Linked DNA regions of Callithrix jacchus. The protein of the gene in region 2 purifies or fractionates together with the protein of the main gene of each other region. This does not show direct contact. Links are inferred from orthologs where the notes say so. Each region holds a gene or a part of one and is shown on either strand. Other genes may lie near its edges.

Evidence for each region.
Region 1: the proteins of JUP (region 2) and DSG2 purify together in Homo sapiens (affinity purification with western blotting; 3 studies listed by BioGRID and IntAct, with this or other methods). This does not show direct contact. The link is inferred for Callithrix jacchus from reciprocal best matches to the Homo sapiens genes JUP and DSG2.

Annotation. Positions count from the first base shown.
Region 1 is NC_133514.1:74,679,142-74,682,962, reverse strand, and holds part of DSG2 (desmoglein-2), read right to left. Parts: intron 2,860-3,821; coding exon 2,738-2,859; intron 1,928-2,737; exon of another isoform or gene 1,736-1,927; intron 1,540-1,735; coding exon 1,207-1,539; intron 962-1,206; exon of another isoform or gene 670-961; intron 1-669.
Region 2 is NC_133506.1:91,480,895-91,484,261, reverse strand, and holds part of JUP (junction plakoglobin), read right to left. Parts: intron 2,272-3,367; coding exon 2,116-2,271; intron 1,919-2,115; coding exon 1,799-1,918; intron 917-1,798; coding exon 766-916; intron 669-765; coding exon 547-668; intron 1-546. UniProt on the Homo sapiens protein: Common junctional plaque protein. The membrane-associated plaques are architectural elements in an important strategic position to influence the arrangement and function of both the cytoskeleton and the cells within the tissue.

The DNA.
Region 1 (3,821 bases), on a different chromosome or scaffold from region 2:
CCAACTATAATTATGAATTTGTCTATTTCCCTATCAGTTCTGTTTTTGCTTTAAGTTTTAATAATTTGTTATTAGGTTCTGACATACTTAGGAGTTTCAGACGTCCTGATGAATTGGCCCATTTTTCATTTTGAACTATCCCTCATTATTCCTGGTAATAATCCTTGTTCTGAAGTATACTTATCTCTGTTATTATCATTATTTTTAGACAGAGTTTCTGTTGCCCAGGCTGGAGTGCAGTGGTATGATCACAGCTCACTGGATCCTTGGCTTCCCAGGCTCAAGTGATCCTCCTGCCTCAGCGCCTGAGTAGCTGTGACTATAGGTGTGTGCCAGGATGCCTGGCTAATATTTTGTATTTTTGGAGAGTGAGGATTTCACCATGTTGCCCAAACTGGTCTTGAACTTCTGGGCTCAAGTGATCAGCCTGCCTTGGCCTCCCATAGTGCTGGGATCAAAGGCATGAGCCACTGTGCCTGACCTCTACATCATACTTTTATTTTCAGTCCTGCTTCTAATTCCTAATTCTAGCACAAGCTTCCTTACTGCATCTGATCATCTTCCTGCAACTTTTCTCATCACTTCTTGGTAGACCCTCAGAATAGCAAAGCCAAGTACTCTCATAAATAAGGTAAAATTTAAATGGACTTAACAGATTGTATTTTTTAGGTTATATATTCTCTGTCTCTCCTGCAGGGCTCATCCCTACCAAGTCTGCTACTGCGGGGATAGAACTTTCTGACCCACTGACATCTGTCTTGGTCACGTAACTTGCTTTGGTCAATGAAATGTGAGTGGATAAAGCTGGAGGCTTTAAGAGCCATTGCCTGGTTCTGCCTTGCTCTTTTCTCTGGGCCACAAGGATGGCAGCTTCCCAGGTCTGATTTGCTCTCTCAGAGCATCTTGGAATGAAGACATCATGAAGCAGGACAGAGCTGAGCTGACTGGCAAAAACATAACTGTAAGTAAGAAATATGCCTATGTGAGAACTAAGATCGTGGGTTCACTTGTTATCGCAGCATAATTTAGCTAACACCAACTGATTTAGTGGGTCCCATTTCTCTTTCCTTATTGCCTATAAGTATTCCCTGAAAAAAGAAAAAAAACCTCAAAGTCTCATTTGGATCCAAGGCAATGATTACCCTAATAATATTACATTTACATATAAATGTCCCCCACCCCCCAATACATAAAACCAATCCTTACATCAGTGAAATAATTTCTTAAGAATTCTTCATTCAGTGCAACAGCAGCTGTCTGAGCTCCGGCCACGTCTCTGGAAGCCCCTGTGGCTCTTGTGTTCTTCATGGTTTCCTTGCTTATGATAGCCCCTGTGGCCCCTGTAACCTGGGTAGCTCTAACAGAAAGCAGGCTTCTGTGTTCTTCCCACCTTCCATCCAGCTCAGACATCTCACGCTGACCTTTGGCAAAGGAACCAGAGCTACTTTCTTTCATGGTGGCTTCCTTGGCCATACCTCCTACTCCATTTCTTCCTGCTAGACTGTCCTTTTGATCCACTGGCAGAAATGATGGTACCACCTGTGAGAGGAAACACTGAGAACTGAGTCAGGAAGATGGAGGGGACTCCTTCATCCTTGGTAGAAGGATCTAAGCCAAGTAGGCATAGGAAGGTATAAGCTATTTCCACTGAGGCCAATTAGAAAAAATCTTTTGGGTTGAATAACTTATGTAAGTCTTATGAAGATCTTCTTTCTTCTAGCTTCTTGTTTTATAGCTGGATATAACCCGCAGAGGAAACAAGGCCCAAACAGTTACATAGGGTCTCAGCTTCTTCACTCTATGTGTACCAATGGCATTCCAACCTTCCTCTGCAGTTTGATACCTTCTATAGTTATAGAATTTTCAATTTTGTTTTTACCTGGATCCATGGCCACCCAAAATAAAGACTATTTCCAAGCCTCTGATTAAGCCACCTGACTAAGGTAGTGTGGCCAATGTGAATTAAGCAGAAATGGTGTAGGCAAGTTCTGGGAAGTGTGCTTAAAGAGCATTCTTTACTTTTCTCCCATTTGCTGGTTAGAATGTAGGGATGGCAGCTACGTAGCTAGCACTGACACATGAGGACAGCATGGGAATAGAACTCAACCATGGAGGAAAAACAAGGAAGAGGGAGCCAGGGACCACACTGTGGAGGAATCATCAATATGTTGACCTTGGACTGCCCACTTTATGTTTAAGCCACTGAATTCTGAGTTCTCTGCCACTTGATGCTAAATTCTATCCTATTAGAAATGGTGCTCATAACAGACGGTGATGAGAGGTACAGGGTGAAGATGCAATAGACAAAGGGATATGGCTATGAAGTTGTTGGGAAAGTGGGCTTTGCAACATTTTACAACCGTCATGGGGGTTGTGGGTTACCTCTGCAAACCCTGTGTATTGAGGGGAATGTAAATGAAGCAGTTCCTGGTTGTGAAAACTGCCCATTTAATGCTGGGACAAAAGACTTAGATCTCTAGCACATTTGCTCTTTCTGAACCTTGCTCTGCATTCTCTATAGCATGGGAAGTGTCACAACAGAGTAAAACCATCTCAGTTCTGCCCCAGCAACAAACACAAAATACACTGTCATTTGAACCCTTTGCTTAACAAAGGCATATAAGTGAAATCCATAGTGATCACTTTACTCACTCTACCAAAAATGTAAGAAACACTTCCCTAGGCCCCTTTAAAACCCAAAAAGAAGACAAGTCTTATTGACATCTGATCCACTGACCTTGTCTTCAGGTGGCGCTCCTTCATTATTCCAAGGATGCAGCATCTCTATGGTGCCAGGTATGGGGGTAAAGCCTTTGACGCCCTTTCCACAATGGCATATCAGCAGTAAAAGTGGTACCACTGTTCAGACACAAAATTGAACACAGATAAGGTTAATCCTGACAATTTCTAAATGTATATTATGTAATTTTGGAATTTGCATGTCCCTTCCTGGAGTTGTCATCACTTATTTGCAGTCCTATTTTTCTTTTGTTAACCCTGATCCAACTGTACCAAGCTGTTTTGGGTGAGTTACTCCAAAGCCTGATGGCAGAATAAGGGAGTCGTACAGATTCAAGGCCTTGTTCATCAAAAAGAGGCTGTCTGTGGTTGTTGAGTGGAACACCAAAACTGGGTCAGATGGAATCCAAATCATCAAAACCAGCTTAAAGATTAAATTTTTTAAAACTATGGTCCAATTAAAAAGAAAATCACTGTCCCCAAAATCTATGTGCTAATAATAATAGTGATTAGAGATAATAAAGTGAAATGTGTAACAATTTCAGAGCCCTCTCCTTAGATTTTATTTTACCCCTAGGAGAAAGCAAAGACCAAGGCTGACCCCTTGATCAATGCAGCAAAGAATTAAACACATATGCACACCCATCTGCCACTCCAATTTGGCTTCCAAGGATGAACTGACTAGTGCCTAGATTTCGTTTTTATGTAAAACAGTCAACAGCACATTAACTATAGCTGCTATGATTAAGAAGAAGATTGAAACCAGCCAGTGGCAATTCAACAATTTTAACAAACATTCATCAAGTGGCTATTATGTGCCAAGTACATTAGGCTCCAGGGAATCGAAGATGAGAAAGCAGTTCAAGGAATCCATGAGCGAAAGATACAGTGCCTGCTTCAGTACCTACCTACACACTTGGTAAGCTGAGACAAGTCATTTATCATTATGTATCTGTATATGCAGCCATAACATGGAGATAATTGTATAAAAGTACACTGCAAACTGTTGAGTGCTGTGCATTCAACTGAACATCTACTAATGGCTCTAACACAGCAGTCCCAACCTTTTTTGCACCGGGGAC
Region 2 (3,367 bases):
GATGAAATGGGGTCACCTAGGCCCCTGATGTACTCATGTCCTCAGTGCTCCAGAGGGAGGAGGGTTCCCCATTCATGGGGTGGGGGCTCCTGCCGGACTAGAGCAGCTCAGGGGAGGAGGGGAGGAGGCAGAGGACTCAAGAAAAGACTGCCCATAGCCTATCCAGCACCTCCACACAAATTAGGAAAAGGCACTCCCTCCTCAAACACTGTATACTCATTTGGGCAAAATAAAAATTGGCACTTTGTGGATATATGGTTCAACCTACCTCCATCTGCTAGGAATTGTTATAAATGATCAATTACAAAATAAAGATCTAGAAAGTTGACAGGAGTAGAAGCCCCTCTAAAAGCGCTGTCCTTGGGCAGTACACAACCTACACAGCCATCTACTGCAGTCCAGCCTGGGATACTTCCAGCCTCCCGGAGAGAAGAACCTAAGATACTCCCAGTCTCCCAGCCAGAACAACCTAGGATACTCCCAGCCTCAGGCAGAACGGCCTAGGATAATCCCAGCCTCCCAACCAGAACAACCTAGGATACTCACAGCCTCCCAGGCAGCTGGGTCATGCTTGAAGAGGGAGTTGGTGAGCTCCACTGACACACGCTTCCGGTAGTCTGGGTTCTTGTCCTCGGAGATTCGGAACAGGACGGCAGCAGCATAGGTGGCTGAGCAGAGAAGAGAGGAAAAGCCAGGTCAGACGGGTGCCGGCCTCCATCATGGCTGGGGGAAGGGGACCCAGTCTCCTCCCTTCCTCCAGCTCACCAGTGCCCTCGTTGCGGGAGTGCAGCAATTCCATGAGTGGGGCTGAGGCCCCCTCTGCATCAATGGCGTCCGCCGCCTCCTTGTCCTGGGCCAGCTCACACAGCACCCCGGCGGCCACGCGCTGGATGTTCTCCACCGATGAGTACAGGAGCTGGGGACAGGGGACACGGGAAGTAAGGGAGCAGTGGAAAGGGATGAGGCAGGCTGGACAACACAGCCCACAGCCCTGCCCACCTCCACCCTGTAGCAATTCCAGAGTGGGAAATGGGCCCTCATCACAGGGTGTTACTGCTTTAACTGGGCTGAGCGTTGTTTATGGACTACTTTGAAATTACCCGTGTTGCTGCCTCATCTAAGCATTGGAATCTAGTGTCAGTGACCTCAATGACATGAGAGATGTTAAACTCTTTTTTTTTTTGAGACGCAGTTTCACCCCTGCTACCCAGGCTGGAGTGCAATGGCATGATCTCAGCTCACTGTAACCTCCACCTCCTGGGTTCAAGTGATTCACCTGCCTCAGCCTCCCAAGTGGGATTATGGGAACCTGCCACCATGCCCAGCTAATTTTTTGTATTTTTGGTAGAGACGTGATTTCACCATGTTAGCCAAGCTGGTCTCAAACTCCTGATCTTGTGATCTGCCCGCCTTGGCCTCCCAAAGTGCTGGGATTACAGGCGTGAGCCACCGTGCCCAGCCTAAACACTTGTCTCTTATGGTATTTGCACATATTCTCCCAGTTTACTGATTTTTTAAATGCTTTTTTAAGGTTCTTTCTGAAATACAGATGTTTTTCATGTTTATGTGATTGAATCTCAAGGTGTTTTTTCTTCCATTTGTGATCTCTCTCCTCGCTTTGATGCTTAGAAAGTCATACCAAGCCAGGAGGTTGCTAAGTAGTCAATCCCGGTATGTCCACTTTCCTCCAAATTCCTCCAGAGACCTCTGGATGCCTGGTCCAGGCTTCCCAAATCTGGGACCTTGCCCTCTAAGCAGTGGTGGGGGAACCTCTCCTGCCCACCTGCCCCAGACTCACCTGCACAAACAGGGGGATGGTGTTGAGCCGGAAGATCTCCATGCGGTTCATGGGGTCCCGCGCGAGGATGTGCAGGGCTCCAGTGCAGCCCTCCACAATCTCCTCCATCCTCACACCGTCCTGCATGGAGAGGCAGGGGGCATGGGACGGGTGCCTTGGACATGGTCACAACTCTTCCCGACCCTGACAGCTGAATCAACTTCACAGGCACTTGGAATTGGTATCCCTTGCAACTGATGTTCCCATTCACACACATACCCACAGAGGATACCCTGACCTCCCAGGAAGGCTGTCACAGGCACCAACAGCTCACATACCGTGTAGGGCTGCTGTGTGCCTGCAGCCACGTGGCGCTGGGCATCCTGGTGGGCCTTGACCAGCAGTTGGACGAGGCGGGGGATGACTGCTGCCTCCTGCAGGGGGGCATGGTTGGCTGGGCACAGGGCCAGATTCCTGATCAAGCCGATGGTTGCCTGGCAAAAAAAAGGGGCAGGGATCAGGGGCACTTCTTGGACATCTGAAGGATCCCAAGGTTCCCAGCTTCAGGTATCCCCTCCCTCCTTCACCTTTCCCCGAGGCCAGACACAGGCATACTGAAAGATCTCCAGAGAATGAGACCACCCCAGCCATGTCACTTACTCCACAGGATCTGGGGGTGCTCACAGCTAATTCTTTTTTTTTTTTTTTGAGATGGAGTTTTGCTCTTATAGCAGGTCTGCTGAATTGGGACCTGCAGAGGGGTGTGTGTGTGTGTGTGTGTGTGTGTGTGTGTGTGTGTGTGTATAGAGAGAAAGAGAGATTGTTTATTTGTTTGGATTTTTCTTCAGTTTTTTTTTTTTTTTTTGAGATGGAGTTTTGCTCTTGTTGGCCAGGCTAAAGTGCAATGGCGAGATTTCGGCTCACTGAAACCTCCACCTCCTTGAAATCTCTAAGCAATTCTCCTGCCTCAGCCTCCTGAGTACCTGGGATTAGAGGCATGCACCACCAGGCCCAGCTAATTTTCTATTTTTAGTAGAGACAGGGTTTCTCCATGTTGGTCAGGCTGATCTCAAACTCCTGACCTCAGGTGATCCGCCCACCTTGGCCTCTCAAAGTGCTGGGATTACAGGTCTGAGCCACCGAATCTGGCCGCCTTTTCAATTTTTTTGTAAGAGGTGAGTGTCTCACTATGTTACCACCCAGGCTGGTCTCAAACTCCTGGCCTCAAGTGACTCTTTTGCCTTCCCCTTTGCTTCCCAAAGTGCTAGAACTACAGATGTGAGCCACAGCACCCAGCCTCCTGTTTTTCTTTTCTTTTAAATGATGGGTTTTTGCTTTCATTCTTTTAAATGATGGGTTTTTCTTTTAAATGACGGGTTTTGCACCCAGGCTGGAGTGCACTGATGCAATCATAGCTCACCGTAACCTCCAACTCCTGTGCTCAAGTGATCCTCCTACCTGAGCCTCCCCAGGAGCTGGGACTACAGGCGTGCACCACCAGGCCTGGCTAATTTTTGTTGTTGTTGGCTGGGTGCGGTGGTTCACACCTGTTATCCCAGCACTTTGAGAGGCCAAGGCAGGCGGATCTCC